Linked DNA regions of Canis lupus familiaris. The protein of the gene in region 1 purifies or fractionates together with the protein of each later gene. This does not show direct contact. Links are inferred from orthologs where the notes say so. Each region holds a gene or a part of one and is shown in the gene's direction. Other genes may lie near its edges.

Region 1 (5,745 bases):
AAAAAGAAGCTTTTTATGTCCCGCTTCTTTTAGAGTAATATTTCCACACTTCATCCGTATTGTATAATATCCCATTGTATGATTAAACTAGGTTATGTTCATCCACTCATTAATTGCTGGACATTTGGGTTGTTTCTATTGCTATGAATATCCACACACAAATTCTTGTGTGGATATATGGTTTCAGTTATCTTGGGTATAAACACTGTTAATTACTCCCTTAGGTGCAGTTATACAAAGTGGAATCCCAAAGTTAAAAAAGTTATGTCCATTTTTAAGGTTTTTTACATCTATTGCTTAATCAACTTTTATATTTTTAAAGATTTTATTTATTCCTGAGAGACACACAGAGGCAGAGACCCAAGGAGAGGGAGAAGCAGCCTCCCTGCGGGGAGCCCAATGTGGGCCTCGGTCCTAGGATCCCAGGTTCACACCCTGAGCCAAGGGCAGACACTCAACCGCTGAGTCACCCAGGTGCCCCTTAATCAACTTTTAGAAAAGTCAAATCACTTTAATTGTATATTCCTGTTAATAGTATATGAGCGCCTGAGCTATTTACACGTACTGCCCATTAGGAGAAGAAGTGATTCTTGAAATACCTTCTATATCCACAACTGGTAGTCATCAAGTTCTGATTAATTCACATCTTTAATTCCTCGTGAATCTTTTCCCGCCTCTCTATCTCTTCTTACTACACTGTTTCACTCCCTCATCACCTGCCTTCTAACGGAAAAAATATTTCTCTAACTAATACAGAATAATTTCTTCAAGTCAGATCTCATCAGTTACTTTCTGTTTAAAACCACTTAGTGGCTTGCCATTGCTTTCTGGAAAAAGTCTGAATTCTGTAGATGATAAAAAACCCCATCAGAGTCTGGCTTCTGTGCATCTTTCCTGTTTCATTTCTCCCTGTTCATACCTCCCCTTTTACCTTCTCCCCACTTCTCTCCCATTCTTACCCCAGTTATATGGAGCTCCCTGTACTTCCTTGAATGTATAACACTACCTCATTCCTCTACCCCTTCATGTCCTTCTACATGGAACACCTTTGTTCTTCTAGATAATTCCCACTTTTTCTTAAAATTTAGTTCAGCTAGGGGATCCCTGGGTGGCGCAGCGGTTTGGCGCCTGCCTTTGGCCCAGGGCACGATCCTGGAGACCCGGGATCGAATCCCACGTCGGGCTCCCGATGCATGGAGCCTGTTTCTCTCTCTGCCTGTGTCTCTGCCTCTCTCTCTCTGTGTGACTATCATAAGTAAATAAAAATTTTAAAAAAAATTCATATTTAAAAAAAAAATTTTAGTTCAGCTATTACCCCTCTGGGAGGGCTTCCTTGATCCCTGTGTTCTTTTTTGAGCTCCCAGAATTTCCAACCCTAACCTATAATATTTACCCACCTGAATTATAATTGCCCTTCTGTTTTTCTGTATTTTCCATTAGACTAAGCTCGTTGAGGCTAGAGAATATATAGGTACTTAGTAAATGTTTAATAAATTGGTAGAAGTTAGTATTTTAAAGGAAGTCTGGTGTGGAAGAGACCTTCATTGAGCCAGGCTTCAGGTTGTTACTTTGTACCTGGCCGGACACAAACTAATGAGACCTATGACATTTCCTTTAGGGAACAGACCACTTTGTGTGTATCCATTCTGGAGAGATTGCTCCAAGCTATGGAGCCGGTTCACATAGCCCGGAACCTCGGAGCTGACCTTCAGAAGGGACTGACTCACCCCGATGATTCCGTAAAAATTCTGACTCTATCCCAGGTATGAAATTTTACTAGCACATAATAAGGAAACTGACATTTAGTGACCGCCTGCTCTGGACCAGGCTCTGTGTTGGGTGCCAAAGACAGAGAGACAAAACATGATCTCTCTGTGTCCCTAGGAGGTGTCTCGTCTATTCTAGTGTGCGTAGCTAACTATAAGCAGGAGCATCCAGGCTAAAGTAAGGGGTTCTAGTAAGTATTGTCTGAAATACTCCTTCATCAAATGCTGACTGAATTCCTTGTACATGCCAGACATTGTACCATATACTGTTAGAGCTATCAAGATAAATAGAGCCTATTTCCTCCCCTCAGGGAGCTCCTAATCTAGAGGAAGTAATTGCCAAAGTAGCTCTTATTATAGGGGCATAAAAAAGGTGCTATTGTAAAGGTCACCAAACCAAGAAATTGAGACAGTAACTCTTACAACCCTAGTAACCAAAATACTATTTGGGTGAAGAGTTGCTGCTAAGGATTATATTGTTGAGATGTTAGGACCCAAGCAGTTATCTAGGAGGCATCAAGTACTATTTTTCTTTTTCTCACCTGGAGGTATTATTTCAACAAAAAAGGAGAAAGTGTTGATTGATTCTCTGACCATTTATGTGCTAGACGCCATAGTAGGTACTTATCCTATTTAGTTTCCTTCCATCGTCATAACTACCCTGCAGTTAAGTATTATGATCACATTTTACAGATAGAAACCTGTAAAGAATTAACTAAAGAAGTTAGTTAATTTGCTCAGGGTCTGTAGCTAAAAATTGATAGAACTAGAATTTGTGTTGTCTTCTTTCACTGGAGTGTCTCTATTTTTTACCTACTGTTAACTTTTGTCTTTCTTTTCAGTATTGTGCCTATATCATGAGTGTCTTCAGCTTTAATGAATTTGGGTCATTTGGAATTTTTTTTTTCATTTGGAATTTTTAATGGCTTGTCTTAGAGCTGAATCATCGACCCCTAAGATAAATGCACACTAAGGGAATTTCTGATTGCATTTTTATTTCAGGTCGGAAGAATTGTTGAGAATTCTGATGCTGTTACTGAGATTCTAAATAATGGCGAATTACTAAAACAGATCGTTTATTGTATTGGTGGAGACAATCTGTCTGTAGCTAAAGCGGTGAGTCACCTAGAACCATCAGCTTAAGCACACAGAGTATCCTAAAAAACAAAGGAAGGCCTTCTGGATTGAGGGGTGGAAGTTTAGGATGGATGATTTGTATAGTTGAATTTGCAGCCTCACATAGATGGTGTCAGATAAGTAAATGGTGTCATATAAATACCAGTAAACCCCTTCTGTTTTCTAAAATACACATATCTAAATTATCCATCATGGAACTTATATTAGGTTGCTTGGTAAGAAAATTTACGTCATCCGTTTTTGTTTTTGTTTTTTTAAGATTTTATTTATTCATGAGAGGCACAGAGAGAGAGGCAGAGACACAGGCAGAGGGAGAAGCAGGCTCCATGCAGGGAACCTGATATGGGCCTCGGTCCCAGGTCTCCAGGATCACGACCTGAGCTGAAGGCAGCGCTAAACCACTGAGCCACCCAGGCTGCCCACATCGTGCATTTTCTATAGGGAATACTATGTGTATCTTTTTCAGTTTAAAATAATGATAACTAAAACATAGTGCTCGTTGAGCAAGATGCATTCCACACACTAATTTCACATCCATCTCATGAAGTAGGTATTAAGTATTCTGCATCTTTATGACTTAAGAGGTATTTTCTTTCCTTATAAGGCCATTAAATCCCTGTCAAAAATATCACTAACCCAAGCTGGACTGGAGGCTTTATTTGAAAGCAATCTGCTGGATGATCTGAAAAGGGTAATGAAAACAAACGACATCGTTCGATACAGAGTATATGAGGTAAGACTAAAGCAGGCAGTTTTATTTTGTTTTGTTTTGTTTTTGAGAGAGAGAGTGTGAGTGCAGGGGGAGGGGCAGAGAGATAGAGAATCGCAAGCAGCCTCCAAGCTCAGCATAGAGCCCAGCGCAGGGCTTGATCTCACGACCCTGAAATCATGACCTGAGCCGAAATCAAGAGTTGGACACTCCACCGACTGAGCCCCCCAGGCACCCCTTCTCATGCCTGCCATTCAGAATGCAATAGAGCTACCACTGAAAGGCAAGATGTCTTGTTAACATCCATCTATTGAGCATCTAGTCTTTATAAGACCCTATATTCAATAGCTGGGTACGTGGAGGTGAACCCTCAGCCTAATGTGTCAGGCAGTCATCTAAAAAATTATCATGGCAGACTACGTAAAGTACTATAATAGGAGATAATGTCAAAACTGGACTTTGAAATAGTACTAATATGAAGAAATGACTCATTTGCACCCACTCTGTACTTAGCATTGTGCTGAATCTCCACATATATTGTCCATTTTTATGGTAAACCCTACACATGATTATCACTGACTTCACTATTAATACAGTAGCTGACCCAAGCCATATAGTTAAGAGGCTGCATATTCAAAATGGAACCCTTGACAGTCTGATTCCCTATTTAAAACACTTTCTTACTGGGCATATCTTAATACCATGCTATCCTGGTTTCCCTTCTGCCTCTCTAGCTGTTTCTTTTCTGTCTCCTGGTTCATTATCCTCTGTTGAACTTTTAATTTTTGGAATTCATGAAGGTAAATTCCCAAACCCTCTTCTCATTATACATTCATTTCTAGGCAATTTTATTCATCCTATGATTTCAGTTCCCATCTACATGGGATGACTTCATAGACCTCCAACCCAGACCTCTCTTCTGAACTCAGACCTTCATGTCCAACTGCCTACTGACTGTTCCCCCTTTGGACCTATGTATTCTAGGCCCCTCACACTCATATTCAAACCAAACTCCTAAGCTTCTTCTTTTTGTTTTTTTTTTTAATTTTATTTATTTATTCAGGAGAGACACAGAGAGAGAGGCAGAGACACAGGCAGAGGGAGAAACAGGCTCCCTGCAGGGGAGCCCAGTGCAGGACTTGATCCCAGGACTCCAGGATCACACCCTGAGCCAAAGGCAGACACTCAACCGCTGAGCCACCCAGGCGTCCCTAAACTCCTAAGCTTCTTTACCCAGCCCATGCTCTAATAAAAAATAGCAACAGACTGGCTCTGCATGAGGCCTTGCTCTCCCTACCACATATCCATTAGGTCATCATACTGTCAGTTTTACTTATTAAACCATGCACTTATGGGATCCCTGGGTGGCGCAGTGGTTTGGCGCCTGCCTTTGGCCCAGGGCGCGATCCTGGAGACCCGGGATCGAGTCCCATGTCGGGCTCCCGGTGCATGGAGCCTGCTTCTCCCTCTGCCTGTGTCTCTGCCTCTCTCTCTCTCTCTCTGTGTGACTATCATAAATAAATAAAAAAAAAATTAAAAAAAAAAAATAAACCATGCACTTAAAAAATAAAAATAGGGGATCCCTGGGTGGCGCAGCAGTTTAGTGCCTGCCTTTGGCCCAGAGCGCGATCCTGGGGACCGGGATCGAGTCCCACATCGAGCTCCCGGTGCATGGAGCCTGCTTCTCCCTCTGCCTGTGTCTCTGCCCCTCTCTCTCTCTCTCTCTCTGTGACTATCATAAAATAAAATAAAATAATAAACCATGCATTTCTCTTCCTTGATATAGCTACCACCGCTTTAGTTTAAACTACCAGTTTCTGGGCAGCCCAGGTGGCTCAGCGGTTTAGCGCCGCCTTCGGCCCAGGGCCTGATCCTGGAGACCTGGGATCGAGTCCATATCGGGCTCCCTGCAGGGAACCTGCTTCTCCCTCTGACTGTGTCTCTGACTCACTCTCTGTGTCTCTCACGAATAAATAAAATCTTACCAAAAAAAAAAAAAAAAAAAAACTACCAGTTTCTCTCACCTGGACTACTACATTTGCATCCAGACTGGTCTCTTCTCATGTTGATACCACTTGTCTATTTTCAGATGCAGTCAGTATGATCTTTTAAAAACTCAAATCTGATTCTATC
Region 2 (6,475 bases), on another chromosome or scaffold:
AGATGTGCATGAGAAAATTGGAATGGAAGGGAAAGGGGCTGGGATGGTGTCCTCTTCCTTATGCGTTTCCTCCCACACACTGAGCTTTGCCTGCCAGGTTGTTTTATGAGGTGGTTAGTGGACTTGCAGGAGCCTACTTCTGGTGGATAGGAATCACTTCCATATTTTTCCTTTGCAGTCTCGAAGATATGACTCCAGGACCACCATATTTTCTCCAGAAGGTAAAATGGAAATTGTTTAAGATATTTCAAATAAAAAGATTTCTTTAGAATTTGACCGGGGTGGGGGGGGTAATCTATAGACTTTATCAAAAATTTTATTAAGTAATCTCTACAGTCCGCATAAGGCCGCGACCCTGAGATCAGGAATCACATGCTTCACTGAGCCAGCCAAGCGCCCCTGCCTACAAACTTTCCTTTTAAATCCTTGCTAAGTTGTTCGTTCTTCTTGTACTTTGGACTAATTGCGATCACCTGGTTGGTCGCATGCTTCCTAGAAGGGTGAAAGCGGGACTCCTGTCCGTGGCCTGCCGGTGTTGGCACTGCTTCCCTTAGGAGCGCTGCTGCTTGGTGACTCACTGCTTGTGTCTTGTAGGTCGCTTGTACCAAGTTGAGTATGCCATGGAAGCCATTGGACATGCAGGCACCTGCTTGGGAATCCTAGCAAACGATGGTGTTCTGCTTGCAGCAGAAAGACGCAACATCCACAAGCTTCTTGATGAAGTCTTTTTTTCTGAAAAAATTTATAAACTGAATGAGTAAGTGAGATCTTAGGGAAGGGAGTATAAAATGTCTCACTTTCTCACATAAGTGCCATTGTACGTATTTCGGGAGGGCTATTCCATGACATGGTACAATTGAACAGTTTGTGTTTATCTCTGGGGATTTTGCTTTTAATTTATTGTTAAAACCTCTTTGGGGCCCAGGAACCACATGTTTCTCTTTTTAAGTACAGAACGAAGCACTCAGTGGAGGCCCCACATCGTGAAGTGACAGGAGCCCAGGCTGGTCGTCACTCAGATCTGGGTTGATTTAGAAGCTGTGTGATTCTACGCTGCTTGTTTAACTTCTCTGGGTCTCAGCTAGAGTAGTCATGGCAGTTTGAACCATAATGAATATAAACTCGCACAGTGGCCTGTGGCAGGCTTCAGAGCCTTGTTCAGAATGGCTACTCAGGAATTCTGTGGAGTTCTGCTGACTCTTCCCAAACGCCAGGCCTCCCCGAGGTCGGGGAACAGTGTAGCCAACCCTGTACACCCGGGGACGTTTGTTCCAGTCAGCGGTGCAGGACCTTGCAGCTGGCACGGGCCCTTCCTGGGAGGCTCATTCCAAGGGGTGCTGTCTGTGCACAGTGCCACTGTCTCCTGGCTCGCTGGGGTGACCCCTTGGGATCCCTGGTCCCGGCCTCGTCCTGGCTGCCAGGCAGACTCATAGAACACCCTTCCTGCAGGTCCCTCCCCTTCACCCCCATCACGCTGGGCTCAGATACTGGAGGACGTGGAGCAGCCTGTCTTCCCATCTGTTGACAAGTCTTGGGCTCACTTTAGCTGCTTTAGTGCTTGTCTCTTGCCTGTGCCCAGGGTGGTAATGAGAAATACATCTGTTGAAGAATTTGTGGGAGCCTTTATTTTTCATGTGGAATGACATCAAGTTGAAAGTCTGTCATCGTGAAGCTCCTGTGGAGCATCGTGGTGCATTTGTGACAATGCACTTGTACCTTAGTGCTTGTGAACACCTGTGGCAGACCTCTCCCTGCTTACAGATACGTCTGTCCTCTCCTCCAGGGACATGGCTTGCAGCGTGGCGGGCATAACTTCTGATGCTAACGTTCTCACGAATGAACTGAGGCTCATTGCTCAAAGGTACGGTCGTAAATAGCAAGATACATAAATGAGTGAGTTTCCATGTTTCTGAGGAGAACTGTGAAGATCTAAATCATTTAAAAAGTCTATTCATTGAAAATTAAAGTTTTTTTAAACCAAAGCTATAAAACCTTAAGGGTATTAGGCTGTGGCTACACTCTCCCCGCCTTTTCAAATTACAGGTGACAGTGGAGTTGTCCCTGTGGCATAGATCTCTTTCAGAGGGTATTTTGCTTAGGGGGTGTCTGTGTTTTAGAGAAAAGTCTATTAAAATGCCAATTTCTTTATTATAGGTATTTATTACAGTATCAGGAACCAATCCCTTGTGAGCAGTTGGTCACAGCACTGTGTGATATCAAACAAGCCTATACACAGTTTGGAGGTACTGAATTTTTTGAACATTGTATTCCAAAAAGTTAAACCACCTTATGAATCATAACCTTTTTGAGATAATAAAAAGAAATTGAAAATGAAATGAGAAAATACTTCACATAAATCCCTGCTTCACCAATTTACTGGCTTCCACTATGTAGATTGTCCTATGTTTTATTAATAGATGCTGGAAGGCCATAATGCCATTTTCAAATCTGGAAACAAATTGCATTTTACATAATAATGAAATTCAGCACTGGTCCTCTGTGTCTTTATTCTCTTTCTTGGCTGCGTCCAAATCCTAGAGACAAAAGTGGAATTTTGGCTGGAGCTTAGCTGTGGCGTTCAGAAAACGAAGCAGTTTATGAATGCTTAACTTCACAGAGGACGCTTTGGTCCTGCTCGTGGGCTCAGGTAACCATAGTGATACGGGATTCAGATGGCTGATACGTTGTTTGTCGTTGCTGTTAAAGGAAAACGTCCCTTTGGTGTTTCATTGCTTTACATCGGCTGGGACAAGCACTATGGCTTTCAGCTCTATCAGAGTGACCCTAGTGGGAATTATGGAGGATGGAAAGCCACGTGCATCGGAAACAATAGTGCTGTGAGTATTTTGGGGGTTGCTATAAAATCTGCCAAAAGATCTAGTAACCCCCATAATTTTGAAGTAGCCATGAGTATAAACTGTTCTAGAATAGCTGCCGCACCCTTACTGTGATGTGAAAACATTGGATTTCTGTTGGTAACGAAGTCACAGGCACTGCTAATACTACTGGGACTTACTGTCTACGTTTATAAAGGAACTTTAATAAAGGAAGTGCTGATTTTCAGTGGGAAGTTTTGGAAATGGGATGTAATTATTTTTTACATCCTAGTTCTCAGACCCTTTGACTTATGTGATGGGCCCCTTGCAGGCCTGGGGAGGTCAGGTTACAGATCCCGTTCATAGAGCGACAACCCCCTTGTCATCCCATCTGCCCTCCCTGCCCTTAGAAGTGTGGGTATTGGTTACAGTGCCCACGGTGGTTCAGCCATTATTATTCTGACCCATCCATGTTCTAGAAATTTAAAGGAAACTCTTTTTTTTATTCTCCTTTATGTTTCATAGGCAGCGGTGTCGATGTTAAAACAAGACTACAAAGAAGGAGAAATGACTCTGAAGTCCGCACTTGCTTTAGCTATCAAAGTCCTAAACAAGACCATGGATGTGAGTAAACTCTCGGCTGAAAAAGGTAATTGGTGTCCACTCCTCCCTTTGGCTCACTTGAGTGAGAGAGCGATTGAGTGGCCTTAACCTATTCCTGAGGGAGGATGCGCGGGCTCGTGGGGTCCTGGGCCTGACCGTAAGCCCATACTACCCTCTGAGCGCAAGGACTTAGGCCAGAGTCTTCTCGGTGCTCACTGACCTGTTTGAAGCAGATACTTTTAGTATGTAACTGACCAGCTCCTCGGCCGCCTGGTGTGTGTGTGTGTGTGTTTGCATACGATGGTGATGGTGTACTTCATCCAGAGACGACCTTTGCAGGAGTCGTGATGTTCTCTGTTCTTTTGAATCCACTGGTCTCTTATGTTATCCCATGTTTGCAGTTTTAAATACTTTATTTAGCGTAAGTCATGTGATCGTATAAAACAGTATTTCTAAATAAGGATTTTTCAAAAATTGTGGTAAATTAATAGATTGATTCAGTTTAGCATAATTAAGCTCCTGGTGTCCTTAGAAAATGCAGTCTACTTGCGGACTGCCCTCTGTGGTTTCTCCTGCTCAAAAATCCCTCCTTTGGTATCAGTTTACTTTTCTTGCCTTTGGTCCTGGAAAGATCTTTTTATACCTATGTTTTGAAGAGTTTTCAATGGTCCGTGAACAATGAATGTGATTACGGGTTAGCGACTCTGACTGTACCTCCAGGGGCTCCAACAGGGACGTGGAGGTGCCTTCTGGTCATCGCAGCTAATGGCCGGCCAGCTAGAGCCAGTGGTTGGTGACAGTGGCAAAGGGCGAGTGGGAAGGTTGCGGGGGGTGAGGAGGACACTTAGGAGAGTCGACAGGAACGTCACAGGATGGAAGGTGCTCTGTCGCTGTCAGGACACGTGAGAGCTCCCACAGGAGTACTTGTGCGAGAGTATGCGTGAGCGTACGTGTGCGAGCCTCCCCCCCCCCACCCCCCCGCGTGTCCCCGGGAGCAGCGGCACAGCTGGCAGCGGGCGCCTGGGCTGGGGAGCCGTTGGCAAGGTGCCCGCCCATAACGTAGGCTTGCACTCACTTGCAGTGGAGATTGCCACCCTGACAAGAGAGAACGGGAAGACGGTCATCAGGGTCCTGAAGCAGAAGGAAGTGGAGCAGCTGATCAAGAACCACGAGGAGGAAGAAGCGAAAGCGGAGCGAGAGAAGAAAGAAAAAGAGCAGAAAGAGAAGGAGAAATAGGAGGAGAACCCTGGGCTCTGGCGGCTCCGGGGCCGTGTGCCCGCTGCCCGGCCTCCCTCGCCCGGTGGGCAGACTGGGGCGGGCACCAGCGCAGGCCTGCCGTCTCTGTCCGGTTGAGTCTTGTAGTGACGCTCGGTCGTAGTGGACGCGCTCGTCCCTCCCTGTGTTGGTAATAAAACTTGGAAAGAACGGCCATGGTGAAGGGGGGCGTCTGGGGCAGGAGCCATGACTGTCGTGAGGGGGCCCTGCTTACGGGGGGTCCCACAGGGTCAAGTGCAGGGACGCAGGATCCTCCCCGTCCTGGTGCTGCCGGCCGGTGGCGGCCACGGGGTTCATACCAGACATGAGCACGTCTGTGAGTTGTTGGCAGAGTGTGAGGCGACTCGGGAAACCCCGTGTGGCCACCAGCCGGCGTCCGAGGCTGTGCCCTGACCCCATATGTCCCTGTCACATCTGTGTGCACGGCCTGCCCCCTGGGTTCTGCCCCTCTGCTCAGGTGGGCTCATGGGGCGGTCAGGCCGAGACCCCCACTCCGAGCTCAGGGGCCCTTCCTCAGGCTGCAGGGGCCCCGGGCAGCTCTGTCTGCAGGGACTGGTCTGAGCAGGGGGGGTGGGGGGGCGAGGGCCAGGCCGGAGGAAGAGTGGAACCAGGGAGGACAGCAGAGGAGCTATGACGAGAGGGCGCTCACTGCTCACATGCCGTCCACCACCACCGGGTGCCCTGACCCCGTGCCGGGGAGCCCCCTGCCCCCAGCAGCCCGGCCATGGGTGCTGTGCAGCCCCCCGGGTGCTTGTCAGCCCTGCGGACACACGAGGACCACGCGGAGCTCGTGAGACATCCGGGGCGGCTCCCCCACGGCTGCCGGTCCTGCCTCGGTGTTCTCTGGCCCGTCTGATGTATGCCTTCTAAATCCAAGGACCCCATCACTGTGGGCAGCTGGCCGTGGCCGCCCCGGGGACCGTGTCATCCCCAGGAACGGGCAGGTGCTGCACAGCTCTCGGTGGGAGGGCCAGGTTGGCCTCGGTAGTGCCCATGAGCGGGCTCGGATCACCCAGTCCGTACGTGACCTGTTCTGTGTTCTGTGTGTGATGGATGTTGATCCGTTAATCTCATGGCCGACCCTGGACGCGCCAGCTTCTCCAGTGCCCAGCGTCCCCCCTCTCCTGTTGGGTAGCACGGCCTTGCCCTCATGGACTGTGACGGCAGGGTCAGCAAAGCACAGTGATGTGACAAATTGGCACAAACAGGCCGAGAAAAGGAGCTGAAGCAGGCAGATCCCCAGGTGGCTCAGGTGTCACAGCTGCGTCTACACGTCCACCGTGACCACGAGGGCGCTGTCCGCGGGTGTGGACATGGGTGGCCAGCCAGCCTGCAGGTGCAGGAGGGAGACGGAGAAGGGAGCTAGTACGTCCACGGGCCTCGCTGGCCCCACCATCGGCCAGCGCGGTCTCACGCCTGGTCTCCCCCCAGTCCGCCCACAGCACAGCAGCCAGAGGGAGCACCCCAGGGGAGGCCGGCCCTGCTGTCGCCCTGCTCCGTGGATGCCACTCCCCCCACACTGGCCTCCCAGGCCCGGCCCTGGCCGCCTGCATGCTGAGGGAGGGAGGACGGCTTGTTCCTTCTCACAGCCCACCTCCCATCCCCCTGCCTTGACAGCCCTTCCCTGGTCTCTACCCTGTGGCTCCTCCTCCAAGCCGCCCTCCCCACCGCACGCTTACCCTCCGTCTGCACCACTGGGCGCAGACTTCCAGGGCAGGGACTGGAGCCCCGACCCAGCATCAGCAACGGAAACGGGCCTGCCCCAGGCTTCACGTATTGAG

Evidence for each region. The genes of interacting proteins can lie anywhere in the genome.
Region 2: the proteins of PSMD5 (region 1) and PSMA4 fractionate together in Homo sapiens (co-fractionation; 3 studies listed by BioGRID). This does not show direct contact. The link is inferred for Canis lupus familiaris from reciprocal best matches to the Homo sapiens genes PSMD5 and PSMA4.

The regions. Positions count from the first base shown.
Region 1 is NC_049232.1:74,283,214-74,288,958, reverse strand, and holds part of PSMD5 (26S proteasome non-ATPase regulatory subunit 5), read left to right. Parts: intron 1-1,618; coding exon 1,619-1,763; intron 1,764-2,768; coding exon 2,769-2,882; intron 2,883-3,507; coding exon 3,508-3,636; intron 3,637-5,745. UniProt on the Homo sapiens protein: Acts as a chaperone during the assembly of the 26S proteasome, specifically of the base subcomplex of the PA700/19S regulatory complex (RC).
Region 2 is NC_049234.1:39,135,289-39,141,763, reverse strand, and holds the end of PSMA4 (proteasome subunit alpha type-4), read left to right. Parts: intron 1-178; coding exon 179-221; intron 222-594; coding exon 595-757; intron 758-1,783; coding exon 1,784-1,861; intron 1,862-2,154; coding exon 2,155-2,243; intron 2,244-2,706; coding exon 2,707-2,837; intron 2,838-3,341; coding exon 3,342-3,465; intron 3,466-4,500; coding exon 4,501-4,655; 3' UTR 4,656-4,848; downstream 4,849-6,475. UniProt on the Homo sapiens protein: Component of the 20S core proteasome complex involved in the proteolytic degradation of most intracellular proteins. This complex plays numerous essential roles within the cell by associating with different regulatory particles.